6 linked regions of the Cricetulus griseus genome follow. The protein of the gene in region 4 purifies or fractionates together with the protein of the main gene of each other region. This does not show direct contact. Links are inferred from orthologs where the notes say so. Each region holds a gene or a part of one and is shown on either strand. Other genes may lie near its edges. The genes, in order: Med9, Rprd1b, Rpap2, Polr2c, Ctdp1 and Med26.

Region 1 (3,875 bases), on a different chromosome or scaffold from region 4:
TGAAAGGAAAGAGAACTGGCTAAGACTGGACTCTCTCGACACTGATACCCCCCGCTGGTGCCTGCCCTCACTTTTGGGATGCCAGGGCCCAGCAGAGAAGTACTTTGCGTTTTTTCTCAAAGACCTGAGAACGAGAGTGTGTAAAGTTCGTCAGCCTGTGAGACTTCAAGTAACTAATTGTCCTGCCTGCTGGAGGGCCAGGACCAACAAGGCATTATCTTGTCTGTGATTGGTGTTGCCATGACAGCTGCCAGCCACTTCAGTCCTCTGCAAACTGGAAACTTTGGCGAGAGGTGGGGGGGTTCAATCATAGGCAAGAGACTTGTTTACATGTATGTGTGTGGAATTGCTCAAAAGAAAAAAACCATAAAACTTGCACTTTAATTTAGTTCCAGTGTCAACATGACATGAACAAAGTATTGTGTGAGGTCTTTATTATTTTTTTATTTAAAATAAAATAATTAAAAAATGAAAACAAGGTTTTCTTTGCTCTTGCTTTTAGGGAGTTGGGTTCCTGCCTTAGTGGCAGTAGCCAAGCAGAACTGGGGGGGTGGGGGGGACCTTGCCTTCTGAAAACAGCCTCCCAGCTTCCAAGTGGGACATGCTCTAGACCTTTCTGGCTTTTTCTGTCCATCCTTTACCTATCCTCCTGGCCTGTCACAGAGGGCCTCATTTCTAAAGATATAGTGTCCTTCCCCACTGCCCCATCTGTTACTCAATTGTGGCAGGCTATAGAAAGCAGTCAGTCTTGAAACTCTTACCTTGATTACCACAAATAAGGAGCCTGAGAGTTGTATCTGGGAAGATGCCAGTACTAGATGTTTATCCCCTGCCCCAGGATCCAGCAAAGTGCTGATAGCTTCCCGTATAGCCCCCAGAAGCACTCACCAGGTGAGGCCCATCTCCTCTGCACTTTGCTGTCTCCCTCTGTGGCCAAGGGATCATGGCTTGTGGCCCAGATCTCACCATTCCTGTCAACTTGGGGCAGGCCTCACCTTCCAAGCCTCTAATCTCTAATTCTTCAGCTGAGAAACAGAGGCACTCTGTGTGTGTGTGGGGGGGGGGAGGGGTGTTCATGATAGTATCTCAGGATCAGCACAACTGCTGTACCCATGAACCAAGTATCTGGTGGTTTTCAAGAGGGTCTTGAGCTTCAAGGGATGTTCAAGATTGTCCTGGGGGTAGGACTTCAATCCTGCTTTAGGAAGGGCCACTTCCAAGGAACTGTGCCTCTCAAATCACAGAAAGGCATTCACTTCTCAACAATGGATGGCTGGGTTGCCCAGGGTCCCCTGCAGGAGACATGCAGGCTTTTATGCAGTTTAATGGGTACACATGCTGGGTGGGGGAAGGAGCACAGAGAACATTTTGCCTCTACACTGCCTAACCAACACTCCCTTCTAATTTTTTATTATAAAACCTGCACTCCCAGGGTTTGACTCCTAGCACTGTTGAAAAAAAAAAGACAGTAGGCAAACCCTGTATCCTGAGAGTAGAGCACACTTTTAATTCCGTATCTGCAAATGTGACAGGTCAGCACACTGGAGCAAAGAAGATTCCATCCCCTTTGGCCCTCTAAGGAGCCTTCTGTCTCTGCCTAGCAGGAGGATCTGAAGCTCCTGCATCTCAAACTCAGAGCCCACTTTTCTGTCCAAACCACTGGAACTCAACACCCTCTTTCACACATCCCAGGCCCAACTGTGAGGCATCTTGGATAGACAATGCCACCAGAACCCCTGCTAAAAACGTTCCCAGCCAGTACTCCTGCCAACAAGGCCAGCTGGCAGGCACCTGCTAAGTCTTACACTGGTCAGCCCAGACCGTGCCCATTTCAAGATCTAAACAATACTGGGTACTTCCCACCTTACTCCTGAGAGGACGAAGGGCCACCCTGCCCTCAGTGTGACAGTCCCACGTGGGACTAGCAGAGCACACTCTACAACTAGCACACAGCTATAGAACCTCCAGGCTTAGCTACCCCTGCCCTACAGACCTGACTCTCACGACACACACACCTGGCTGAGGAACCACCCTGATTACCCCTTCCAGCCACTCTGCTCTAAACCAGAAGTGTGCAGGGACCATGTGCAGGGTAGCAAATATGGCTGACTCCCTGGTTAGAGAGGAGATGACGAGGTAAGCCAGGGCCTATGAATCAGGGCAGAGCTGCTTGCTCAACAGCCTTTTTGAGCCAGCGTGGGAAGGACAAAAGGCCCCAGGCAAGCAGTGCTTTGGCTATTCTGAGCACTGCCTGGAGTGATGGAGATAAAGGGAGCAAGAGCCTATAAGGCTAGTGTGCAGGAGGCTGGAAACTGGAGTTGGTGGCTGGCTGGCAGGGCTCTGGGATGACGCCCCCGAGATACAGTTTCATTCAGTAGCTCAAACAAAAAAGGAAGTGAACAGTTTTGGGGGAGAAGCCACCCACCCTCTGGCCTTTCAAAACAATGTTCACACTCTCCCAGCCTTCTTTAAAAATTATATTAAATCCATGCCATCTGAGTGCAGGTCTAATTTATCCCATGAATTCTATGCAAATGCTTCATGAAACTGCTGTTAACAGGAACAGTATGTACCAGATATGCACTGATGATATGGGGAGTGGGAGGAGCCAAAGGAAAGAAGGGAACAGCCACCTCCTCTCCTTCTGTGCCCTCCAGATCTGTTGATGGGACCAGAGCGTAGCTAATCAAGGCTGAGTACAGCCACTGAGGCCCCACAACAGCCATATGTGGCCTCCCAGTTTAGAGCTGGGCTCCCAAGGAGATGGACAGCACAGGTGTGAAGTTCTCAGTTCTTTGGCAGCTGTCCTGGGAGTTGGTCCTACTCCTTGGGGATCTCAAACATGCAGAGGCTCTTGTACTTCTGCAGAAGCTCATTCTTGGTCCTGACTTGCTCCCGGAGGCTGTGAAGCTGCTGCTGTTGCTGCTCAGGACTCATGTGGATGCCAGGCATGGTGCCTATGAGCTTCCGCATCTCCTGGAACTTTGTTTTGAGAGCATTCAGGTCCTGGTGGAGATCTGGGCTGTCCTTGTCCATGCTATGGGCAGCAAGGGGTGGGGGGTAGAAGGCAGTCAGTTAGCAGGTGCAGCTCATCTCTACAATGGCTTCCTTTGATACTCTCTGATACCTTTCAGAATGTTGTTTGACATGTCTGTCCCCTGACTAGGTTGCCTATCCCAAAAGACAGGGTTTGGTCTTTTTGTTTATTTTGGTTTTTTTCCTTAGCTTTAAGTTAGACCATAAAAACATTCCCTTGACTAGCACACTTGACAAATCAGATACTTATACTCTTGCTCCCCTGAGGGCAAGGACTGAGCTTGCTTCATCACAGGTGTCTCGCTGGTCTGGCCCTATACATAGAACACTATGCTCAAGAACTAATTGTGGATAAGAACGCTTGTACAAGTATGACAACTTGAGTTTGGAGCCTTACCGCCCATGTAAAAGCAGGGGCACAAGTGTCTATAAGCCCAGCTCAGGTAGGGGTGGGGTGCATAAAGAGGCAGATCCCAGAAGCCAATGAGCCAAAATAGCAAGCCTCAGTTCTATGCAAGGGAATACAGTGAAGAGTGATACAGCAAGGCACCCCAAGTACCCTCTTGTAGCCTCCCTACCACACACATGCACATACAATATACAAATTAAGTTTTCAAAACACCACCTGTCAAAAGAGTGAATGCCTGGAAAGCATGGCCACAGCCATGCTAAATGAATACACCATTACCAATCACCAGCAGATCACTACCCAAAACAAAAAACAAACTTGATGGCATACTCCACTCCACCTGATCTAAGCCATTTCTAGGCCAACCAGGAGACTCTGAGCTAGCAGGACCTTCATTTCACTGAGGTATGGTACTGGGTTAGACTTTAGT
Region 2 (4,873 bases), on a different chromosome or scaffold from region 4:
GGTTAGCTTAACCCACAACCAGAATTGTCACCTGTCTTAACTTGTTTGGTTTTACATTCACCTTTGCTGTTGACACCAGCATTCTTGAAATGCAATAAGAATGGGTCTTCCTCCCCTCTGAACTCTGACCCAGTACCTCTGCCACTTTAAGGTTCAGAAGCCACTAGAAACCAACATAAAGTCCTTAATGGAAGAGGAGATGCTTGCTATTTAAAGGAAAATACAAAGCTAACAAATAAAATGTAGAAAAACTTAAGTGTTGACAAATTTGAGCTGTGGGGAAAGACTCCCAAGAAAGCACCTGTACATGCAGGAGCCCATAAACTGTGGCATTTACACACTGAAGGCAATGAAAGGTTCCAAACAAGATTTAACTAGTCTTCTGATTTGGCAGTGTTCAGGACCAACCATTACGAAAGGGAGGCGGAGGGATTGAGGCATTGAGGCTTCTCTCAAGTTGCACACGGGGTATTATTACCACCACCGTCAGGACAGAATGAAGATCTGTCTATTATAAGGTGTGAGAGGAAATGGCAGATTCAGAAGACCAGACTGTTCATGTATTTAGTAAGCACAGATAAAGATCTAATGCCACCAGTCAGCTTCTTACATTTTTATCTAGTCATTTGCTTTTTCAAATGCAGCAAACTTCTTTTTATTTTCATAATGAATGGCCCTGCCCAGTTGGCTGGTTGAGTTCTGGCTGCCTTGCAGTACCAGGGTCCTCCTAATCCATCCTCAACTGCTGAGTTCCAATGCCATGCCATTCTGTGAAATAGCAACAACGAGACTGCAAAGCTACAGAATGGACTGAATTCTGACCTCTATGCCGCATAACCTCTTGGGGCATCCACTACCTGTTGTGCCTATGAACCAGACAGCTAACTGCAGCTGGGGAAGAGACAGAACAAAGAGTTAACAGGCTCTACCAACTGTCTCCTTCTCAAAGACTGTCCTCTATGGTGCTTGTCACGTTCCACCCAACAACAGCTGCTCATGATAATCAATGTCTGACAGATCAGAGAAAGCCCTTAATGTGTCGCCAAGGGGCAGTTCAACAGATGGCACAATGACTTACAACCAGAATCATTAATTACAATCTCTTATTAGTCCCAAGGTACTATGCTGAAATGCTTCCTCAGTGAAAGATGAGCCCGTCAGACAAATGGCCGTCTGCTCCTGCTGATGACGTTCCCTTTAGGGTTCTGGTCAGTGCTGAATCTACAGGAAAGCCATACTACTGTCAGCTGTCTCCTATCTTCCACACTCAGGCTGGCTAGACCTCTGAAGCTCCTAGCACCTGTACCTATCACAGCACAGCTTCTATAATCACTGCAGGGAAGGACATGGCATTCCCTCTCTAGTCAGCTGACCACAGAATGACCAATGCAACAATCACCAGAGCTGGCTCAGTGTTCCCTCCCTCTGTGTCAGAGAATTTTCCCTGGTGGGAGAAGGGTGGCCTTCCACTCCCTTATCTACTAAGGGGGCTTCATGAGGTGTTTCTTGTGATCATTATGAGTTATTCTCTAACTCAGACCCCTCTGTCCTTCCCAAGAAACACAGAGGAGAAACTGCTAAGAAACTGCTAAGTCCAACAATGTGGGGCAGATGGAACCCCAACAGCCACACTGATGGCTCTGCTCCCAAGGACAAGGAGCTAAGCTGAGTTAAGAAGCAGATGGTGAGGGGATTCTAAACCCTTTCTTGCTGGACACACCGAGACACATGCTCTCAACACAGGAAAAATGGGTTCCTGCCCAGTTTGAATCAGGCTACACAAACACAACTGAACTTGTAGAATATGTACAGGAAGAGCTTGTAGGCAGGAGGCTTACTGGCAAGCATGTGTATATGTCAGAAATAAACCTCAAAACAATTCAGATTCCCAAATATAACCTTTTGCTGACCCTTCTGTATCTCAATTTATAATTTTTCAACTCTAAACTGTGAAGCAACTTTAAGATCCTAAATGCTGTGACTAAGAGGCCACTGTTTTCACAATGTGAGTTTTTCTTTCCTGGACATGTTAAAAACATGACTTCAACTCTTAACTAGGCTACAGTAATCACAGTTATCTGATGGATACTACTATCTCATTCATTTTCAGAAGATAAAAATAAAGGTTAATCCAGGAATAAAATGGGCTATAGGAAGGGCAATTCAGGCAATTTGGGTCTGTTTTGCAATGTACTCACTTCTAGCTTTTTCTCTTTTTCTGACAAAACCTCTTTCTGGTTTTGGGTATACTCCACCAGCATCCGAGCCAGCTGGCGCCGGTCTTCCAGTTCCGCTGCCAGGCGCCCGTTATATTCCGCTAGTAAGAGACATGCTTCATCTACCGTTTTTGAAAGACGTTCAGCTGCCTCTTTGTCTGAGTACAAATAAGAGCAGAAAACAGACAACATACAAATCACATAGGTATGATTGCAAACATTCCTGAAAGAAGGTTCACAGAATCCAAGAATAAACCAGAACCTGTGAACCAACAATGCTGGCCAGCCAAGAATCCAAAGGTGCCAACTCTGTCAACAAGACATATTTCTGAATTGCCTGAAGTAAGACAACTGGATGGGGCAGGAAAGCTGGCACGCTGAAAAGAGCTTCCAGCAAAAGCTCTCCAAACAACCAGCATACAGATATTTAGGGTCATCTGTGAAATGATTTCCCTTGCCTCTGAGAAGATGAAGTGTTTTTGCTTCTATTACTGCACTAAGAATACTTTTTCCACTGTTCTAAAGTAACAGAGCAAGCACTCACTCTTGGGCGTGGAGAGACTGAGAGAAAACAGGAGTTGTATGAGAGGCTCAAATATGGTCTCAGAAGGTGATCTGCAGAACTCTGTTCACCAGAGAAAAAGGCTGGCTCCTGGGAATGAGCTTGCCTCCCACACTTACAAAATATAGGGTCTGAAAAGGAGGAAGGGTCTTTCAAATGTATGTGAACATGACCCTCAGTGGAAATAGTTTATAAAAACACAAAAAAAGAAGCAGTACCACATGTGGTGGCTCATACTTGTAGGAGAACTGCCACAAATTCCAGTCATCCTGTTTATACAGCAAGATCCTAAAAACAACAACAACAAAACAAAACAGAAAAAAGAAGGGGGAAATATCTTTTTCTTATATGTGCAAAATATTCAGTGTTGCATTTTTAAAGTGCTGATCATTATTGAGAAGACTGAATTCATGTCCAAATAATGTGTCTTGTCACCCATGCTTTGGGGAGAGAAGAGCAAGCACTGAAGTGTAAGAATATAAAGAAGTGCTAAACAAAGGCTGGCCTAGCAAATGAGCAGAGACAAAAGGATGATTTAGATCCATAAGGAACTGCTGCAATTGTGTGGTGATGGTGTAAATGTAAACATGTGCATGTTGCTTTAAAAGGTCTTTTGGGGGCCGGAGAGGTGGCTCAGTGGTTAAGAGCACTTATTGCTGCTGTAGAGAACTTGGATTTGGTCCCCAGCACCCACATTAGGTAGCTCACAATCACCTGTAACTCCAGTTCTGGAGGATCCAATGAAATTTCGGCACCTGCAGACATGTGGTGCATGTAAATTCATGTAGGCACACATATACACATAAATAAAAAACTATTAAAAATAAATAAAAGCAAAAAGGTCTTTTGGGTGGAAATAGTAGCTTGATGCTTCGAAGCAGAGGGCACCAGAGCTGCCAGCAGTTCCACACACAGTTCCTCCAGGCAATGGAATTTAGGAAGTTCCAGCATAGAGCAGCTACCTGGTCCTTACTTGCCTCTGTGAATACCGGGAAATGAACTGCTGAGGGCTCTCTGATGCCCCCCCCACCTTGGGTTAGAGAACACACACCAGGGAAGGAGTGAGCAAAGCAAGGTGGGAAGAGGGCCTGGGACATAGGGCAGGGGACCAACTCGGCACAGACTGGCAACTCGGCCAGCGAGCAAGCTTGAGTGGCTACTTTCAGCTTTGCCAGCCCTAGACTACTGATCTCTTTATAAGAGTAATTGCTAGAGTACCTGTGGCAAAATGGCAAGGAAATACTATTTTTTAAGATTTAAGATAAAAAAATAAATTCTCACCCTGGAGAACTTGCATAAAGAAACTAGATCATTTATATAAGTAACTGGAACTCAGAAACTGCTTTTTATCACTCAAGGGTTACACAAAACCACAGGCTGGGAATCAGATTAGTGTCTTGCTCAACCACCATCAGTGAAGCGTCCTCCTACAGAACTAGTAGAGACACAACTGGACAGTGTACTGAGAGAAAGAGACTTTGGAACAACCAGGTCTAAATGAGATGTCTTCATCAAACCTGTCCCCTTAGGGCTCAGGGAACCCTGATGTTGTAAGAGCCAGTGGGGATGGAGGACACCAAGGAAACAGTGTCTTCCAAACACAACAGGACTGATGCACATGTGAGCTCACAGAGACTGTGTCAGCATGCATGGGAGCTATACAGGTCTGAGTCAGACAGGGCCCCAGTGCTGAGAGTGGAAGTGGACAAGAGCCCCCAACCCTAACTGTCTCCAAGCCTCAAATGTTCACAAAGGAAAGATTAGTTTTTTCCCAGTGGAGTCTCTCTGGACATACAAACCACATTTAAAGGCAGGCCCCATGCCCAGCAGTAGATGGTCAACACAAAACAAACTCAATGGTACTTTAGATGTTTTGTCCTGTGATGCCTTGTTTAGCTAAAATTCACCTTACTGATCTTTTGCTTATATATATATATGGGTTTCTGATTTTCTGTTTTTATATGTTTTGTTAATGTGTGCCTTTGTGTGTATTGTTTCTTATGTGTGTGTGTTTTTTTAATTATGGTTTATTTGTTCTTTTATTTGCCTGTTTGTTTTCAAGAGAGAAAGAAGTTATGGAGTTGACGGGTGGAGA
Region 3 (4,873 bases), on a different chromosome or scaffold from region 4:
CAGCTTTACTTGGCATTAAGAGCCTCTCTGGCATGTAAGAGGTTCTGCTTTGGAGCCCAGCCTCCCCACTTTGTGGAGCAAAACCGATTCCAAAACTGGCTCTCAAAATGGCTGTAACAGGGGCTGGAAAGATGCCTCAGCAGTTTAAGAGCACTGACTGTTCTTCCAGAGGTCCTGAGTTCAATTCCCAGCAACCACATGGTGGCTCACAACCACCCTGAATGAGATCTGGTGCCTTCTGCTGGCATGCAGGCAGAAGACTGAATACATAATAAATAAATAAATAAATAGAAATCTTTAAAAAAAAAATGGCTGTAACAATACTCACTCCCACCAGCTCCTTTGTGAGTTGTACAACCAGCTCACTGTGTTTAGACTAGTCTTTTCTCCAACTACTAAAGAAAATGAGCATGTTTTCATGTGTTCACTAACCATTTACTCCTGTGTATAAATGTTTGCGTTAGCTTGCCTTCCCTTTTTCTCAACGTGTTCTGGTCATGGATTTGTAGGAAATCTAACTTCACACGTTTCACTTGTTCGTTCTCTCCTCCCCCCTCATTTTTTTCAAGACAGAGTTTCTTTGTGGAGCCCTGCCTGTTCTGGATCTCACTCTGTAGACCAAGCTGGCTTGAACTCAGAGATATGCCCCAGCCTCTGCCTCCCGAGTGCTGGGATTAATTAATATTGCTTTTATGTTTTGTTTTTTGGGACAGGGTTTCTCTGTGGCTTTGGAGGCTGTCCTGGAACCAGCTCTTGTAGACCAGGCTGATCTCAAACTCACAGAGATCCGCCTGCCTCTGCCTCCTGAGTGCTGGGACTAAAGGCATGCGTCACCACCGCCCGGCTGTTTTCTCATTTGTTTTAATGAACAAAAATTTTAAAATTTAAAAAGGAAAGTATGTCAGCTTTTCACACTTTTCTAATTTTCTGTACAAGTTCAAATTCTGACAGCCTTGAGAGGTGTGTTTTCTGTACACAGTTCTCTCCACCCACTTTGTATATAGACGTATACTTTGTATATAGTCAGTTCTCACGTTTCCCATCTGGACAACTGACTATGGCACTGAAAAACCAGTAGTTTTCCAGCTATTGAAAAACCCATCCTTTCTCCACTCACCCCCATACTCCTGTGGCCATCTATCAAGGGGTCATGTATGTGACGAATCATCCAGGTTCATCCTTCATTTCCCGATATACTACTTGCCTGTACTTACAGCAACATGCACTTTATGTTTTTAAATGTTCAAATCTTTTTTGGAGGGAGGTAGCCCAGAGAAGCCCCAAACTTTCTGATAGCTGAGAAAACTATGGACTCCAGACTCTTCCCACCTCCATCATACCCAGCTTTAAGTCTTAGTTAAAGTTCAAGCAAGAATTTTTCTTAGTACCTTAGTTTTAAATAGTTTAAATCTGTTCATGTAGTTATTTTCTAACAGGAAAATTTTAAAGTAAAATTAAAGTTCTATTTAGCATCATTTAAAAAAATTAACTGCCACATCAAAACAGCTTTTGAACTTACCTTTCTTTCAGTAATATCATAGACTTTATTGGTTTTAGTAGAAATTCTATACTTCTGTTTAGGGATCTAAAGAAAAATAAAGCATCATTTACTAGAGAATTTAAGTAAGGAACACAAGCTTTACGTCATATACAATTAAGTCATATATATATATATAGTTAATACTTTTGGCCAACCCAAGTTATTAGTTCATGATCTTGGGCTTTACTTCCTGTTCTTTCTACAACACTAATAAACTAGTAAACACACTTAGAAGAAGAGTACTTACGACTCCGAGCTTCTTCTGACATAAAGGATAGCCACAGAGTTTGATGATGGACCGCTCGTCCACGACATCGCTGTAGTGAGCCGGAGTGATGAACATCCCCTGCAGTGGAATGTTTGCGACAGGTTAGTGGGACCCACTTCACAGCTGTGAAGGCAGAATTAGAGGGGCATGAGAAGGAAAAGTACTTCAGTAAGTTTGATGTACAGTAACACTTAGAGCAATGGTATTTTAAATTCTTCTGGGCAGACGAGATGGCTCCGAGGGCAAAGGTTTCTGCTGCCAAACATGACAACCTGAGTTTCACCTCTGGGACGAACCCACAATGGCAGAACAGAATTGAATCCACATGCACATTGTGGCACATGTGGGTCATGGTATGTATGCCCACCCCATGAGAAAATAAAAATAAATTTAACAACACATTACATGTAACTACAGCTATCTTACTATAATATATATACTATATACTATATATATACTATAATAAGTAAGTATACTTACTTACTTATTAGCTCATTTTAAAGTCATCATAAAGCAAGAAACACTACAACAGTTGATAATTTTAAAAGACAAATTATACATCATGTATCTAAGGACTAAAATAAAATTTAAAGATTCCAATAGTGGGAAGAAATTTCACTTTGCATAGACTGAAGCGTGCTAGACTTGGGGACTGGAGGGATGGCTCAGTAGTTTGGAACGCTTGCTGCTCTGCCAGGTTGGTAACCTGAGTTTGGTTACCAACCATGCAGTTCCAGAGGAACTGGTGCCCTCTTTTGGACTCTACAGGTAACTGAACATACGTGGCATGCATTCACACATACCTATGCATATATTTAAAGAAAAAATGATGGTGCTGGAGAGACAGCTTAGTGGTTTAGAGTATTCGCTGCCCTTGCCAAGGTCCTGAGTTCAGCTCCTGCCACCAATGTTGGGCAGATCACAACCATCTATAACTCCAGTTCCAAGGGATCTGACGACCACTTCCGGACTGTGGGCACTCACAGTGCAGGTACATACATGAATATATGTACAAAGACACTCATACACATAAATAAGTCTTTAATAGATTATTTTAAATCTGGTAATCTGTCAATGTAATACATACACACTCCTTTAGGAATTCCTCTGTGATGTTCTCTTCCAAAAGCTGCTCAACAATGTGCATGGCTTTCCTCTCAAACTCCACCTTCCTTTGCACCGCAGTTTCTAGTTCTGCCCGTCTGAAATTTTAACAAGAAACTTAGTCCACTTAAAACACTTCTCTTGCCAGGCATTGGTGGCGCATGCCTTTAATCCCAGCACTCGGGAGGCAGAGGCAGCGGATCGCTGTGAGTTCGAGGCCAGCCTGGTCTCCAGAGTAAGTGCCAGGATAGGCTCCAAAGCTACACAGAGAAACCCTGTCTCAAAAAAAAACCAAAACAAAACAAAAAAGACTTCTCTTACAGCCAACACTCCATGCTTTAAAAGCCACCACTAACCTTAGTTACTATTTTGCTGAAAAAAAATTATAGTTTTTAATTCTGCCATTTCTCGCCCAATACCTTCCAAATAGCAAGCAACAATTCATTACATTACAGTGTATATACGGAAGCCGATCACAAGGATTACTTCCAGGCTCAGAGCACAAGGAAGCACTTCCAGACACCTATAAAAAAAGGGGGGGCTGGCATGGTAGTCCATGTCCATAATCACGGCACTTGGAAGGCAGAGGTGCAAAGAATGAGAGTCCAAGGCTAGTGTGGACTACACAGGAAGAACCTATATTTTAAAAGAGCATGGATTTTTTTTGCTTTCAGTTTATATTTTTGCCATACATACTTGGCTCACCCCACCTTTCTGAAGAAAGAAAGACTGAAGAAACAAAGAAAAGGTGACTTGACTTCTGTTTTCCTCACACACAGAAACTTCTGTCAAGAGCTGAGGTTGTGACATCTCAGTTCAACAGAGCAGTTAGGTCTGGGGGGAAAGGCACTCACTTTATGAGTCTTGCTAGGTAACTGTATGATATGTAGTTGAGGGAATGGGATCCTGTCAGTCCCTGTGGGCCCTCACACATGGGATGTAAAGCCAGGCTATCTCCTTAGGCAACCCCACCCATAAGCAGAGCTTCTCAAGCTCTGCTGCAAGACTGTGTGAGATGTTTTTACACACCGTGCCCAGAATGGAGAATCACCGCTGTCATGAGTGTCCTAGTAATGCCACCTTGGCTGTCACCAGTGCTTACCCCTCCCTCTGACATCTGGACCAGTTGGCAATCCCAAGTGTTCTCCCTGCTTTCATTAACTTCTGAGACTTTAAACACTTTGCCTAGAGCAGCATGCCCCTCCCCCCAACTTGGCTGTCAGGTAGTTTTGCCAACAATTCGTATTTATAATACATATATTAAAATGGGAATTCTGAAACTAAACACCTATTTTTTTCCCTACCATTTCATCAAGATCATTTTACCATTATTTTGAGATAATGGGGATGGAATTCAGGACCTTGCACATGCTAAGGAAGCACTCTACCACCGAGCTGCAATCACTAACTCCATAAAGACCACTTTTGCATCAAAGAAATACAAAAGATATAAACACAGATTACAGTTCTTCATATTTAACATGAAAAGCTTCATGAAAAATTATGTTTCTCAGTTTTGCACCCATCAATAAAAGTCATTATCAACTTGCTGGCTCAAATTATCAACCACACTGTCTGGAGCCATTGTCTTCCTGACTGACAGATACCTACAGCTGCTTCCAATGGGTATTGTCTCAGTGTTATTCCTTCTGTCACAAATGATGAAAACTAATATGGCTGTGCTGGAAGTTTTATGTCAATTTGATACAAGCTACAGTCACCTGAGAGGAGGGAACCTCAATTAAGAAAATGCCTCTATAGTCTACGGCCATACCACTCTGAACATGCCCGATCTCATCTGATCTCAGACGCTAAGCAGAGTTGGGCCTGGTTAGTACTTTGATGGGAGAAAATGCCTCTATAACGTTTTGGGCTGTAGGCAAACCTGTAGGGCATCTTCTTAATTAGTGATTGATGGGGGAATAGTTTAGCTCATTGCCTGTAATGTTACCCCTGGGTTT
Region 4 (3,897 bases):
TACTTCAAAAGAGCATTGTTAAGCTGAGTGGTGGCGTCGCACGCCTTTAATCCCAGCACTTGGGAGGCAGAGGCAGGCGGATCTCTATGAGTTCAAGGTCAGCCTGGACTACAGAGCGAGTTCAATGATAGCCAGGGTTGTTACCCAGAGGAAATCCTGTCTTGAACCCCTCCCCGCAAAAGAGGGCATTGTTGAAAAACTCTAAAATGACTGTGTATGTGCAATTCTACACCAGAGAGAGACAGCAGGAAAAGAAAAGAAATCACACATGACACTGGCTGCAGCTCTTCAGCTCTCAGTTCTTCAGGGCAGGGCTACGCACAGTCAGTTCTGCTCTGGTGTGAGCCCCAACAGGCAGGCCAGAAACAGCATGAGGCAATAAAAAGGCCCCTTTCTTCATGGTGACCAGAGAGGGATGAAGACCAACTCAGAATGTATATATGAATTTGACAGTTCTCCTGTCACATGGGAGGCAAGGAGGGGGGTTGGATAACAGCTGTGATTGCCTAACAGCTTCCCAGACCTATATTCTTACAATTATAGTCCCAAGCAGGACCGGGTTCTTACCTCTCTGGCTTGCCGTTGGGGTCATAGGGAGCCTGTGACTCGTCCTCATCCAGTTCGGAGTACTCACTCTTTGGCCTGAGGGTAAGCATGGGTGAAGCACAAGTGGTGACTTCTGCTTTTAGCAAGGCCCTCGGAGCACCTCCCTACCCCTCATTACAGCCAGTGCTAGTGCCCCTTCCCCCACAGAGCATACCATTCCTCAGGCTTGGGATACACCGTGTGCCTAAGTGCGTTGTCTGGATCATATTCAAAAGCTACCCCTGCAGTGGGGTTCCACTTGGCATGCTCCTTGCCAAAGCCCTTCTTGGCATAGGCTCGAAGTCTCAGCTCCTGGCCCTTCCTCAGCTTGACAATAAGGATGTCTGCAGGGAAAGGTGAGAATGAGCCAGGAAACAAAAAGCAGCCAGTCCTCCAACTTCTGACCTGCAGTCCTAGATGAAGATAGCCCACATCTGGGTAAACAGTCTAAAGATGAGCGACAGAGACCAGGCAGCTCAAGAGGGTGCATCTGGCCTCTGCACTCTCTGGCCACAAGCATGTTCACCCAACCTCCTTACTACCCTGCCCCATCCTCTTACCATCCTGCTCCACGTAGTCATTGGGGTCATTATCCCGGTTCCGGGATGTCACCTGTAGGAAGTCCAAACAAACCTCTCAGTCCCCTCTGGCAACTGTCTCCCAGTAAATTCTGGCTGTAGTCTGTCAAGCCAGGGAAAGGAAGCCTGAGACGGAGGTGGCAGAGTTGTCCAAACAGCCTGATGGCCTTTAAGAGGGTCTAGAACAACATAGGGCACCTAGCACCAATATGGCTCTGTTCAAGCACTCAGGAACCAGCATTTCCAGGTGGCAGTTAAAGTAGATGGTCACTGGACAGGTGACTTTATGACATCTCATAAAGATCCACTCCAATCTGTCCCACTTGAAGCCAGAAAGGGAGAAGCAAAGGCACTTACCGGAATAACCCGGGGGCTGTTGGAGATGAGATCTCGAGAGGTAACATGACGAGTCTGATCTTCATTGCACCTCACGTCAAGGGTGAATTCCACAGAACATTCAGGGCAGAACTCTTCGCACGTGCAGTCCTGAAGGATGGGCAGTAGGAATAAACAGACCAGACTCCCTGCTTCTACTGACCAGCTCCTTTCAGTTTCTTCTTGGCAATAAGGGGCCGACCACAGTCTCAGGCCTCTTCTGGGCTGTGACATCTGGTACACCATCCTCATGGTTGCTCAAGCTTATGGACATGCCATCTACTCACTGACAACTACACTTCCTTGCCATGGCCATGGCTATAGGCTACCACTAGGGGGCACACTGCCACAGATGACCAAGGTGGTTATGGGACTATAGTTTCTACCTGCAGTGATACTCAGACCAACTTGGGAATTACAACGAGCAAGAACCTTTCAAATTCTAGATTACCCGGAGTGGGGAGTCCTCATGTGGCCCAGGCTGGCCTGGAATACACTACATAGCTGAAGATGAACCTTAAACTACAGATCCCCCCATTACTACTTCCCAAGTGCTAGGGTTATACAGGCATTCAGCTAATCTTTACTTCAAAACCTCTTACAGAAAATTTCACCCATATACAAAAACATAGAGGACTGATTGCCACTTATCACATACCCACCTTCCAGCCTCTTAATTATCAACATCTGCCATTCTTTGGGGTGTTTTGTACATTCCTAGACAGGGTATATCTCACTAGGTAGTCTCCTAAATAGTGGGATACAGGCATATAGGATTACAGCACATTGACATGTGCTCAAGTATTTACAGGAGAAAGCTCAGGATGCTTCTAACTTATTTTCTAAAAGGTTAGGGGAAGATAACACTATATAAGAAATGAGGCAAATGTAATAAAACATTAGCATTTGGTAACTACAGAGGGGAAAAAAGGGGGCATTTTATTAACGTTTCTCAGCCAGACATGGTAGTACATGTCTTTAATCCCAGCACTCAGGAGGCAAAGCAGGCAGATCTCTGGGAGTTCAAGGCCAGCCAGGGCTACATAGTGAGACCCTGTCTTAAAAAAAATAATAAATAAATAAACAGGGTTGGAGAGATGGCTCAGAGGTTAAAGAGCACTGACTGCTTTTCCAGAGGTCCTGAGTTCAATTCCCAGCAACCACATGGTGACTCACAACCATCTGCAATGAGATCTGGTGCCCTCTTCTGGCCTGCAGGGATACATGCAGGTGGAACACTGTAATAAATAAATCTTTAAAAAAGATATAGAAAAACAAAACAAAATAACAACAACAAAAACCCACCCTCCAAAAACAAATGTGTTTGGGGAGGCAGGTCTGGAGCACTTGCTGCTCTTGCAGAGGACCTGAGCTCAGTTCCCTGAATCTACATCTAGCAACTCACAATTGCCTGTAACTCTAGCTCCAGGGGCTCCTCCAGGGGCTCTGCTGGCCTCTTTTGACCTTTTCCAGTACCCTAACCCATCTGCACACACAATACAGAAGCAGACATATACACACATAAAAGTGAAAAAGCTATCTTTAAAACGAGAATTATTGGCATTCCAGGGTGTGTCCCCTTCTGTGAGGCACACTGATAAGATGCCTGGATGTGCTGAAAACACATCAGAACCAAAGATCACAGTATTAAGATATCACTTCCACAATGGCTTTCTAAACTATGCTATAGTCAGAACGTAGGAAGAAAGATTTCTGGGAGAACTAGTCAGTCCCTCCTGAACCCCCCTTCCTGTGCCTCCAATCTACCCATCAACACACATACCCGGGAGTACTGCAGCTTGTCCACAATGTCATCACTAGTGAGGGGGATCAATCCTGCAAGACACAGAAAAGTTGTTTTGTAGTACAGCTAAGCCATCACAAGAACCTACAAGTAAGTCCCTCAGGCTGGGAAAGGAGGTACCCCCCCTTTAATCCCTTCCACTTCTCAATGCCCTGCCCAAACTTACCAAGCCTGTGAGCAATGAATTCATCATGAAGGACTGAGGAATTGGCATCAATCTGAACCCAGTCAATGGCTGGAAAAGGCAATCAAACAGCACAAGTGAGACCAACCACCATCTGAGAATCTGACATCCTCCAGCATCTCCAGACATACAGCCCTGTTCTCAAGACTTAAGTATTACTTAGTGATCAGCACTTGGAAGGCAGAGTCAGGCAGAACTCTGTGAATTCTAGGACAACCAGGGCTACAAGAGAAACCTTGTCCTGAAAAAAAAAAAACCAACTAACCAACCAACCAACCAGCCAACCAACCAAACACCCCACCCCACCCCCCCAAAAAAAACCAACCCAACCAACCAACCAAATTTATAAAAGAAAGAAAAGAATCACTGTT
Region 5 (5,549 bases), on a different chromosome or scaffold from region 4:
TTGTACAAGACTGACACTCTACCACCAAGCTCCTCAGCAATGTACTGACTGAGCTTGCCACTCATCACAAGAGCCATACGTTCCACTGGTGAGGGGAGATTCAGAAAAAGAAAGCTCCCCACAGGTGCCTCCTCTGCCAACACGCAAGCTGAAGGTGGACAAGAGTTTCCTGAAAACAGTTCTAAATTCACCAATCCTAAGTCTATATAAGCAGATGTGACTTAAGTGTGTATGTGTGTATGTGTGTGTGTGTGTGTGGGAGGGGGGCCTCTAAGGTCCACCATCCAAAAATCACTCTACAAAGGTTTAATGCAAATGTCAGTAAATGCTGACTCTCCCATGTGATTTTGTAGTCAAACTCAGTGGTGCACATCTGTAATCCCAGAACTAAGAACAAAGGGGGGCAGTATTGCTGGAAGACCAGAACTTGAGACCATGAACAAACTTCCAGTACTGCTCTGATAAATTGTTTATAAAGTACTTGTGTGATTCTGATATGTGCTCAGAGAGAAGTAAGCATCTAGGCCTATAAGGCATGGCGACTTCTTCCTGATATCCTCTCTTCCTGGGTCCCCACGTTGGGTGAAGCCACTGTTGTGATGGAACTGCTACTGGATGAGGCTGCAGCCAGAGACAGAAATCCTTCTAAAAACAGACGACTTTGGCTCAGGGTACCTGGTGTGAGCCAAGCAGCTCTTTGCTGACTAAGGCCTAACAATCATGGCAAGTATCACTCAATACCAGGATCAAATGGTATCTACTACTCACAGTCTTCTCAAACAGGGAAATGCACACATCCTTTAGAAAGACTTCCTAATATGCAAGTCCCTCATTCAAAAATGCTAGAGACCAGAAGTGCTGCAGTTGTGGGGGGCCATTTGGAGTTTGGTATGTTTATATAGGCCTCACATGTTGAACGTTGGAAAACTCAAAAGCAAGCATGCCGTAGCTTTGGATACTGAAATATTTTAGACTTTGGATTTTAGAATTAAGGATACCCAACCTGTACAACTAAATTGTGGAGCCAAGACCCACTTAGCTGAAATCTGTGTGCTACAAAAGCCTGTACAGACTGTAAATGAAGAGCTCTGTTGACTGCTACTGGTAGCATCCTCTGTACAGATTCTCAGTGGATGCTGTATGAAGACAATTCTCTACTAAGTGGTGTGACTTAACTCAGTGATTTTTTTTTTTAAACTCTGTTCTACAAAAGTATGACATTTTGGGGAGGCCTAAGTGGTGTTCCCAAGAGCCAGTAGTTCCAAAAACTTACTGCTTGTCAGTAAGTTAATGGCGCAAACACCCATGAATTCAACTGGGAAAGGCAACCCACAGCCATGAAATTTATTCCAAAGAAACTATTAGGATCAATACAGGGCATGAAACAGAGCTTTAAACTAAGGCTTTGTTAACTGCTCCTTCCTGGATCTTTCACACTGGTCACCGTGTACATGCAGGCACACAGGAGAACTATGGGAAATATGCATGCCACCTCACCGCAATAGTCCCCAGAATGCTAGCAAAACACTGTCCATAAATGCACACAATAGGAAATGGGAAGGAAACATTTTAAAAATTATCAAAGTAATGTTGCTAATGGTTTTCCCAAAAGTAGGAATTCAACTGACATCACTGAACTGGTGGTACATGTACCGTGAGTGGTCCAGGATTCCAATAATCATTCCAGGGACACCTAAATGCTCCATCTGAGAAGGGACACTACTTTCACAGTCAAGAGGCTACCAGTTGGTAGCCACTCTGCTGACTCCTTGGGTAATGAACCAGGTAGGTTTGATTTATAAGAGTGGTGGGACAATGGTAGAACCTGTTTGGGCCTTAGTGTTGCTGCCACGGGGACCAGTATGAAATGAGACATTCATTGTGGGCATTTTCTACTCAAAAGCAGGGTACCACTGCTGCTAGTGAGGGCCCAGGTGAAGCTGAGATAGGAGCTTCTCTGATGTAGGAACAGTGCCTACCAAGCCCACAGCCTTGTCCTCCCAGAAGAAGCCAAGCAGGCAGCTCTCTCAAGGGGGGTCAGCCCCAAATAAGTCTTTCTGGTAGCTGTGCAACACCACCCTCCAGCATAGTGGGCAGGAGTAAGGGGCAAGGTCCACAGGCCAAGAAGCCAGACAGCATCTACAAAGATGCACCAGGAGGAGTGACCAGGAAGACAGCTAGGCAGGGATCTCAGTCTGTGAGAAGACCAGTGGAAAATGGAAATTTTCCTTATGGAGAATGATGGGCAGCAAATACTCAAAAGCAGGATAGGTACCAAAGAAGCATAGGATACCAGAAGAGGAACAGAAAGAATGTTTTCAGAGGGAAGTTCCCAGCCCAACACACTGTAGGCAGGAGGGCTCACCTCCCCCAGTAGTTTCTGCTAGTTACAACCAAAACAATCACAGCCATGGGACACACATGCCCACGTGTTAACTCAGGTTTAACACACAACACTGGCAAAATCAAGCATAAAGCCAGACTAGTGGCAGATCAAACCAATTCAAGATCCCGTAGAGCTAGAACAACAAAGAGAGTCCTCCAATTTCTTGAGAACCAAGTACCCATCACCCGAGATGCTGCCTGGGTCCTTCTCTTTCCGTGGCTATGATGCAGAATCATCACCGGGGTTTTACAACCGCGTTTCCCAAAGTTTTATAAGCGTTTAAAGACACACACGCCCCACAGCTTCTATTTCAGTAACGAGCCTGGAACTTGCCTGAGTAGTCCTGTGGGCACAGCCACCCAAGTTGCCTTCACTTACCAAGGTGGAGTCCACCAATTACAGAAGAGGGACGAATGCAAAACATTTCCCAAAAGGGTAACCTTGGGTCACCGAGAACTTTTCAAACTCAAAGTACGTCGGGTCTGAGAAGATCTTACTATACACAGTGTCACACCGCAGCACCCTCGGGGCCCCGCACGGCCAGCCACAGCAGCAGCCAGAGACCCCAGAGACCCGGGTCCCCGCACACTCACCCGGGGGCCACCACCTGGCCTGGCTGCGCACACAGTTCACGGACCACGCCGGCGCGCTCCGACCTGAGCCTGCGCTCGGTGCGCGCGGCGCGCACACAGCTCCCAGAGGCGGTGCGAGCCGGGGCCGGGGCGGCGGGCTCCGCGGAGGCAGCGGCCTCGTACACGGCCAGCACCGAGCCAATGCGCACCGCCGCGCCCGCCGCCACCTTCCACTCGAGCAGGCGCAGCGGCGTGGGGCCCGGGCAGCGCACCTCTGCCCCGGCCGCCGCCGGCGCCCTCGGCGGAACGCCGGCCGCGGCAGCGCTTCCATCGCGACCCAGCGAGCGGCGAGGGCGGTCGGAACAACGGAGGTAAGGAAGGAAGCACAGGCGCTCAGGGCGCGGCGCCCACCGCGGGGGGCGGCGACACTGCGGTTCCCGCTCCGACACCGGCTTCACCCGCCGCTCGCTGCGCACTCACTTCCGGGAGGCGTGCTACGTCACGGGGCGGGGCCGGCGGCGTGCGGACGCGTGACTGCGTGCTCTCCCGCCGCGGGTAAACAGTCGGCCCACGCGAAGCCGGGAGGCGCTGGTCTACACCCGCCGGGCGCCGGTCCGCGGTGTTGAGACTACAGACGTGCCACGCGGGTCGCTGTCACAAGACTTGGGTCACACGCTGCAAATCCTGACGCATCGAGACTACCGGTTCCGGCATGCAGCGCGAGTCTTGCGCCCACTTCCGTCGTACACTGCGAGTTCCGACCACCGGAGACTTCGCCTGCTAAAAGCGTTCAGCGCTGTAGTCCTGACGTGGAGAGGAACTACCACTCCCAGCATGCAACGCGAACCCCGGTCCCACCACTCCCGTGGTGCACTGCGAATCCTGGAGCAGCGAGACTGAGTGTCTGCTGGTCGCAATCGGCTCTGCCCTAGTCCGGTGCTCGGCGGAGCTGGCGCTGTTTTCAGAGTAGAGTTCTAGTGTGGGGCTACGGTTGGTTTAGGGTGTCCACCTCGCCCGCCCGCCCCTCCCGGACTGTGGTATGCTGATACCTATCGGGTCCTGTTTGGAGCGTTCACCAAGCCTACAAGTGGAAGCCAGGAGTATCTCTGGCTGGAGATTGCGCAGTTTCCGAATCCTATCAAATAGCACTCTCATAAAGCTTGAGTGGTGTCCCAGGCTGCGCCAGCACGCTTGTCCCAAAGATGCCTACACTTGTTCCCGCATCCTCTGCAAAGCCATCGGGTCTTTGTTCCTATTGGCTGTGCTCCAACGAATTGCCTAAAGTGCAGCGAATAGTGTGCGGGGAGTTTGTTTTTCTGGCTTACAAACCAAGTGAAGCCGCACGCCTTTAATCCCAGCACTCGGGAGGCAGAGGCAGGCGGATCTCTGTGAGTTCGAGGCCAGCCTGGTCTCCAGAGCGAGTGCCAGGATGGGCTCCAAAGCTACACAGAGAAACCCTGTCTCGAAAAAAACAAAACATACAAACAAACCCAAGTGAATACATACTCTTGCTTAAAACTGCTATAGGTTTCCAAGGGATGCCACAGTTCATTGATAGGTCCTCTACGTTATACATTGCAGGTATAAATTAGAGTTATTTGGGAAGAGGGGTTCTTCGATTGAGAAAATGGCCTCTATAACATTTGCTTATAGGCAAGTCTGTGCTGCATTTCCCTAATTAATGATTGATGTGGAAGGACCCAGCCTATTGTGGGTAGTGTCATACCTGGACTGGTGGTCCTGGAATGTCTAAGAAAACTTGCCGAGCAAGCCATAGGGAGCAAGTCAGTAAGCAGCACCCCTCCATGGCCTCTGCTTCAGTTTCTGCCCTGATTGAGTTCCTACAGACAGTGTACTGGCTAGTTTTATGTCAGCTTGACACTAGAGTCATCAGAGAAGGGACCCTCAATTGAGAAAATGACTCCATAAGATTGGGGAGTAGGCAAGTCTGTAGGGCATTTTCTTAATTAGTGACTAATATGGGTGAGCTCAGTCCATATGGTCCTGGGTTCTATAAGAAAACAGGGCGAAAGAGCAAACCAGTGAGCAGCATCCCTCCATGCCCTCTGCATCAGTTCCTGTCTCCAAGTTCCTGCCCTGTTTGAGTTCCTGCCTCACTCCCTTGAATGATGAACTATGAAATGTAAATACAAGCCAAATAAACCTGTTTCCTCCCCATCTTGCTTTTGGTCATGCTGTTTCATCATAGCAACAGCAAGCCTAACTAAGACAGACAGTGATGTGGAAGTGTCAGTGGAAATAGACCCTTTCCCTCCCAAGTTGCTTTTGGGCACAATGTTTCCTCATACTGGTAGCTTCCCTGAGACACCAAGTAAGGATTACTGTGTTCGGAAATGAACGTTTCTTATTACTAGTCCACCAGTAAATAAGAAAATAAATTGTAATAGTGTAACCAGATTATGAGACTGGGGTGGGAGTGTGACCTCTGACCTACAGCCCAAATTCACCAGGGAGTTATTTTGTTTGTACAAGCTGAGACAAACGTGAGTATCAGACAGATTGTGAGAATTATTAATCACTAGAAAGAATGGTAACTAGTTTGCAGAAGGTGAGGCCATAGCCAGGAAAGT
Region 6 (5,631 bases), on a different chromosome or scaffold from region 4:
ATGAATTCCTGAAGTAAGAACACAGAAGAAGGCCTTGCAGAACAACTCATGTAGGCCACTGCAACCCTTCCAGATCTGAACCTAGATGTGGAAGGAGCTCTTCCAGGACTGCCCATCTTGCTGCAAGTAATTTGCAGGCTGGCAGACGCAAGTGACTCCAAATGACAGTCATGGTGCTTGCTTCTTCAGGAATGAGAGGAAGGCAGTGACTCCTGGGATCTCTTTCTCCAGAGCCTGGCAGTGGTTGGATCAAGTCCTCCTTCATAAGCCTTCTCAGGCCTCCTACTGCTCTGCACCCAGGGCCACAGACCTGCTTTGGAAAGCCCCATCCTGGACCACTTAGCTTTCTTTCCATGAGGCTCTACCGTCCTTCCACTGTCCTGAAAAGTGAACTCTGTTAGCCTCAAGATCACACCTACATTCCCCACAGACATATCTAAAGCCACGGGTGATTTTCTCAGTCACCAAGGCTCCAGTTAGGCCATTCCACAGACATGGAACAGTCCCAGCGATTCTTCAGAAAATGGGGGCTTGAAGGCTAATTCTCAGTCACAGGTTCAAAAACTGATCCAGCATGGAGGAAGGGAGCAAGACTCTTCTACAGGAGAGGAGGAGAGACACGGACATCCACAAGGAGCCATTGTCTCAAGTAGACACAGCCCAGGCTCTCCTCAAACACGGAGGGCACCAAGGGACTAAGAACCCTGTCACTGGCCAAAGAGGGACTCACTATGATGTCTTTGAAAGAATAAATCATACCCCTCACCTTTATTCATAACACAAGACTACAAGCAGATGTGCAGTATACATTAGAGACTGTTGACTCCCTGAACTAACACACACAGAGGTGACTGAAACTTCCACAATTCTGGAAGTCCATTAGCGGCCTTTTGGAAGGGAGGGGGGACTTCCTGAAGTACAGGCCTGGCAGAAAGGACAGTGCTTGCTGCTCAGAAGCTAGAACACACAGCAGAGCTGGCCTTCCTCTAGAGACCTCCTTGGTCAAGGAGCTGCTCCCAATTTCAGAGACTGTGGACAGTAGGTCAGCTGCCTGGCACTGACTTTCCAAGCAACAGCTAAATTTGTTAGCTATGATTGCACTCATAAAGGTAAGCATTACATGACACCAATCTCTGTCACTTTCTCTCAAGAGGGTTAATTTTAGTGTAAGCTCTTCAACTGTGTCCCCATTTTGTATTTTTTTCCATGAACATCTTAAATATGTGTCAATTACCAAGTGGTAGAGCTCATAACTGGGCAGAGCAGAGCCCTGTGCCAGCACACAGCTCTTACTTGGGCCCTGAACAATCCAGAAAAAGTACCCTTCAATGCCTCTGGAAGAAATCAAGGACAGTCCTCCAGGCTGAGTTCTACAAAGAGGTCCTGCAAAGCCAGCACATGACAGTGTTCATGAATAGTTACTGATACACTGCATTTAGAGAAAAACTTCCCTCCTCATTAAGAGACAAGTTCTCAACTCTAGCCATCACAATGAGGTCACTTATCCCTATAGCCCTTTGAGATACACACTCCACTCCAAGTAACTTACCCACAGGTGAAGGAGTATATTAACACTTAGGCCCAAGGTAAGATTCAAAAAGCAAAGGTTTGGGGACCAGGCACTGTGGCCCACGCCTTTAATCCCAATACTCGGAAGGCAAAGGACATAGTATGTTCCAGAGGCTCTGTCTTAATACACACACACACACACACACACACACACACACACACACACACACACTCACACACTAAAATTTGAGTCCTCTATCTTCCTTCTTTTACCCCCAAAAGAATCCTTTAGTCAGAGCCTTACCCGCAAGGCTGCCCCACCTGAAGCGAAGCATCATTACTGCCTATCAAAGCACTAGCTGATCCCAGCACTCTCACAGGCAGCAGTCAGGATCCCTGGTGATTTCTCACGAGTCAACATACAGGACTTAAGAATTACACTGTGGATGCTGGCAGTGGTGTCGCACAACTTTAATCCCAGCACTTGGGAGGCAGAGGCAGGTGGATCTCTGTGAGTTTGAGGCCAGCCTGGTCTACAGGTAGAGAAACCGTGTCTCAAAAAAAAAAAAAAAAAAAAAAAAAAAAAAAAAAATCCACTGTGTACATTGTAGCTTCAGAAAACATGCAAAAGCCACTGAGGTTACATTTTTCACATCACTTGTTTGTATCTTTTAATATCTCAATCATGTAATTGCAGTAATATCAGTCACTGTTTTAAAAAACATTTAAAAAAAAAAGACTTTTTAGAAGATTTTATCTAGCCTGTCCTTACTCCACCCACCAAAAATGTCTAAAATATTGGCTAAATCAGTATCAAGGTGATCTTAATAGGGCCTCAAGATCAGGAAGAAGAGATTTACTTTGAATCTGGCAAGCAGATTCTTCCAGAGATCAGGAAACCTCCATTTCTACCAAGACTGCACAACTAATGTGAATTTCTTGGAACACACCAGAATATGGCACATTACTAAGAGTAACAAGCCAAGCACAAGTAAGGGAACCAAAAGAGCTCCCTGCTCAAACCTCAGTTACCTGGCCAAGCCCAAGATGATTTTTCTTTCCATCCTGAGCATATTAAAAAGTGATCTCAAAGGCCACTTCCTGGTCTCCCAGCAAACACTTCATACCTGGATGCTTGTGCATCTTCTCATGGCCCTGCTGCTTCCAGGAACAAAGACCCTCACCCCCTCCCTACACTGCCAACAAACCTTTGGAAAAAACACAACAGGTGAGATTAGCCTATGCTCACACAGGAAGAAAGGGTGTCCCTCTGCTCATAGGACGCTTAGCAGAGGGAAATGTGACATAAAGTGACCCCATACAGTTAACTCTTGACAGCCTAGAGACCAAACACCAGGCCGAGTCCCTCAGGTGGGGCAAGAGAGATGGAAAGAAGACCAGAATAGGGGCGAGAGAACAATCGACTGTGATGAGCAGGAATTCAGTACCAAAACCCCAGGCTTGTCAGACACACAATGGGACATTTAGGCCAAGAAAGGTGACAGGAAGGATCCCACCTTCTGCAGGGTCGTCTTTCCTAGGTAGCGACCCTTGGAGGGATTAAACTGGGGTCTGTCCAGTATCAGAAAAGAAGGGAAACTCTCCAGGGATCCCAAGCAGCAAGACTAGGGACAAGGAGGGCCTAGGGTTCTCTCCGAGCCCAAGAAGACGATTTCAGCCAGAAGACCGAAGGGAGACGCGGGCTACCAGAGTCATCGGGGGACACTAGTTGCTTCCCACCTTGACCCCCGTAGGGAGACCCTTCCGGGGGGTCTCAAGTCCCGGGGTCGAAGAGAGACAGGGAGGCAAGGTGGAAAGCACCAAGGACAATCTGGCCGAGGCAACCGAGGAGAACCAGGTCTGATTTCGGCTCCGAGCGATCCCTCAGTCCAGGCCGCGTGAAGCCTCGGCCTCAGGTACCCTGAGTCGCCGGGCTGCCCGCCTTGCCCGCGGCCCCTGGACCCGGGAGAACGAGAGGCCGAGATGGCAACGGCTGTGGCGGGCAGGGCGCCGCCGGGAGAGGCCCCCAGGCCGGGGGCGCGTCGGAGGGGGAGGGTCCCGGCACATGCGGCCTCGGTCCCCGTTCTCCAAGCAGTCACTTACGTTACTCTGGGAGTCGATGGCCTGCAGCAGCCGGTCCCTCATCTGCTGCGGAGACGCCGGAGCCGCTGTCATTGCCTGGGCGAAGCGGGGGGGAGCGGCCGGGCCGGCGGGCGGGCGGGCTGGGGCGGGGGGACGCGGGTCAGTCGCTCGCCAGCCTCCGGGAACGGAGCCGCATGTTCCCCGCGGCGCCGGAGGAGGTCGGGGCGCTCGGGGAGATGGCGGAAGACGGAGGGAAGCGGAGGGGACCGGAGCTCGGGCCCCGGGCCGCCGCCGCTGCTGCGAGCAGGGGGGGAGGAGGAGCCGACGGAGAAGCCGCCGCCGCCGCCGTCGCCGCCGCCGCCTCGAGAACCAAACTCCAGTGAGCTGCCCCCGCGCTGAGCACTCTGGGTAACCCGCGCCGCACGCAGCGTCGGCGCCACGCTGAGGAGGTTGGGAGATGGGGGCGGGCGGAGACTCTGGCTCTGGGAGGGGCCGGCTCGTGAGCCGCTTCTGTTGCCTCTGCGCATGCGCGCGCACGCGCGTTTATCAGGTCGCGTCGCCACGCCCCATGGCCCGTTCCAGAGAGCCGTTGGGAGGCAGTTGGGCGGGGCAACGGACGCTGTCTAAAGGCCACGCCCACTCCGAAAAACCGGTGGGCGGAGCTTCCTAACGGAAGCGCACCCGCTGGGTCTTGGAGCTTGGACTCTTCCTCCGGGCTGCCTCGGGGGTGCGGAGAAGGAGGACCCTCCCCTCGGATGAAGGGCCGCAGCCGGGGGCTGGGACCCGGCTCAGGAGCGACGCCAAGGAGACCCGCGCCGCGAGGACCTCGGGAGAGTTCTGCGCAGCCGCCGCCGCGGTGGAAACCGGAGGCGCGGGTCTGCGGGGCAGTGCGTGTCCCCGTATGACCCGCGCAGAGGGGACCTAAGGGCACCGCCGCCTCCGACAGGGCCTGCGCGACCCGCTCAGGAGGAAGCGCCGCTCGCGTCGCCGGCCGGAGGGACCGCCGTGCCCGAGGTGGCGGGGCTGCAGCCCGGCATCCGCCCCTTCCTGTTGGCTTTGCATCTCAGGTGCTGGAAAACAGGAACGCCCCACCGAGCAGGAAAGCAAGCGTCAGAACCACCTGGAGTTTTAGGCCACACCAAGAGAAGCGAGATGTTAAGTGTCGGGCTCCCGACCCCCCGTCTTTGGGTGACCCGGAGCTCCGCTGCAGATGACGGGAGGAGGGCGGGCGGGCGGGCGGCGGGCTCCGAGGTTACCTTAAAGATCCAGACTGGAAACGGAAGGGAAACAGGTAATGGGAACCACATGTGCTCCTGAGAGCTGGGCGACCCCTGTTAATTTTGAATTTGTTATACTTCTGAGGGTTAGCCGGGATCGGGGGATGGGGGAGAGGGGGAGGGAGAGCCTGGCATTTAATGCCAGTGCTCGGTTGGCCCGAGGATCTCTGGAGTTCGTGCCCAGCCTGGTCTACACAGTGAGCCCCAGACCAGCCAGGACGGAAAGTCAGAACCTGTCCTTCCCTCTCCCCTCCACAAACAAAAGCTTTATCATGGCTTGTTTAATTCTGCACCTGGCAGAAGCCTGCGTTACACTAGTAGAACGAAAACGTACTTCTTACATACACTCCCTAGCACGTGTTTAGATGGAGCTCATGGTCCAAGCAGCCCATTTTGAAGACGCTTTTTTTTTGGGGGGGGGGGGTTCGAGACAGGGTTTCTCTGTGGCTTTGGAGCCTATCCTGGCACTCTCTCTGGAGACCAGGCTGGCCTTGAACTCAGAGATCCGCCTGCTTCTGCCTCCTGAGTGTTGGGATTAAATGTAAGCATCACCAACGCCCGGTTTGAAGATACATTTTATCTCACCAGTGTTTTGAGACAGGGCTTTTGAACAGCCTGAGCTGGCCTCAAATATTCTCCTGCCAGTGCCTCTCTAGTTGTAGGATTACAGACCTGCCAGCCTGCTGTTTTTGATTACTAATAGTTGATTTTGGTTTTTTTTCTCCCCCTTACAAAGAGTTTCACTATGCAGTTCTAGACCAGG

The links.
Region 1: the proteins of Polr2c (region 4) and Med9 purify together in Homo sapiens (affinity purification with mass spectrometry; 3 studies listed by BioGRID and IntAct, with this or other methods). This does not show direct contact. The link is inferred for Cricetulus griseus from reciprocal best matches to the Homo sapiens genes POLR2C and MED9.
Region 2: the proteins of Polr2c (region 4) and Rprd1b purify together in Homo sapiens (affinity purification with mass spectrometry; 3 studies listed by BioGRID and IntAct, counting the BioPlex papers as one, with this or other methods). This does not show direct contact. The link is inferred for Cricetulus griseus from reciprocal best matches to the Homo sapiens genes POLR2C and RPRD1B.
Region 3: the proteins of Polr2c (region 4) and Rpap2 purify together in Homo sapiens (affinity purification with mass spectrometry; 3 studies listed by BioGRID and IntAct, with this or other methods). This does not show direct contact. The link is inferred for Cricetulus griseus from reciprocal best matches to the Homo sapiens genes POLR2C and RPAP2.
Region 5: the proteins of Polr2c (region 4) and Ctdp1 purify together in Homo sapiens (affinity purification with mass spectrometry; 3 studies listed by BioGRID and IntAct, with this or other methods). This does not show direct contact. The link is inferred for Cricetulus griseus from reciprocal best matches to the Homo sapiens genes POLR2C and CTDP1.
Region 6: the proteins of Polr2c (region 4) and Med26 purify together in Homo sapiens (affinity purification with mass spectrometry; 3 studies listed by BioGRID and IntAct, with this or other methods). This does not show direct contact. The link is inferred for Cricetulus griseus from reciprocal best matches to the Homo sapiens genes POLR2C and MED26.

What each region holds. Positions count from the first base shown.
Region 1 is NC_048600.1:74,078,207-74,082,081, reverse strand, and holds the end of Med9 (mediator of RNA polymerase II transcription subunit 9), read right to left. Parts: intron 3,038-3,875; coding exon 2,821-3,037; 3' UTR 1,483-2,820; downstream 1-1,482.
Region 2 is NC_048599.1:21,516,333-21,521,205, forward strand, and holds part of Rprd1b (regulation of nuclear pre-mRNA domain-containing protein 1B), read right to left. Parts: exon of another isoform or gene 2,375-4,873; coding exon 2,199-2,374; exon of another isoform or gene 1,111-2,198; intron 1-1,110. UniProt on the Homo sapiens protein: Interacts with phosphorylated C-terminal heptapeptide repeat domain (CTD) of the largest RNA polymerase II subunit POLR2A, and participates in dephosphorylation of the CTD by RPAP2. Transcriptional regulator which enhances expression of CCND1.
Region 3 is NC_048600.1:2,362,666-2,367,538, reverse strand, and holds part of Rpap2 (putative RNA polymerase II subunit B1 CTD phosphatase RPAP2), read right to left. Parts: intron 3,011-4,873; coding exon 2,896-3,010; intron 1,887-2,895; coding exon 1,788-1,886; intron 1,586-1,787; coding exon 1,520-1,585; intron 116-1,519; exon of another isoform or gene 1-115.
Region 4 is NC_048596.1:171,083,328-171,087,224, reverse strand, and holds part of Polr2c (DNA-directed RNA polymerase II subunit RPB3), read right to left. Parts: intron 3,578-3,897; coding exon 3,509-3,577; intron 3,375-3,508; coding exon 3,322-3,374; intron 1,650-3,321; coding exon 1,521-1,649; intron 1,198-1,520; coding exon 1,146-1,197; intron 930-1,145; coding exon 761-929; intron 643-760; coding exon 568-642; intron 459-567; coding exon of another isoform or gene 428-458; exon of another isoform or gene 280-427; intron 1-279. UniProt on the Homo sapiens protein: Core component of RNA polymerase II (Pol II), a DNA-dependent RNA polymerase which synthesizes mRNA precursors and many functional non-coding RNAs using the four ribonucleoside triphosphates as substrates.
Region 5 is NC_048595.1:234,864,137-234,869,685, reverse strand, and holds the start of Ctdp1 (RNA polymerase II subunit A C-terminal domain phosphatase), read right to left. Parts: upstream 3,671-5,549; 5' UTR 3,439-3,670; intron 3,433-3,438; exon of another isoform or gene 2,980-3,432; intron 1-2,979. UniProt on the Homo sapiens protein: Processively dephosphorylates 'Ser-2' and 'Ser-5' of the heptad repeats YSPTSPS in the C-terminal domain of the largest RNA polymerase II subunit. This promotes the activity of RNA polymerase II.
Region 6 is NW_023276806.1:247,287,684-247,293,314, forward strand, and holds the start of Med26 (mediator of RNA polymerase II transcription subunit 26), read right to left. Parts: upstream 3,730-5,631; 5' UTR 3,685-3,729; coding exon 3,613-3,684; intron 1-3,612. UniProt on the Homo sapiens protein: Component of the Mediator complex, a coactivator involved in the regulated transcription of nearly all RNA polymerase II-dependent genes.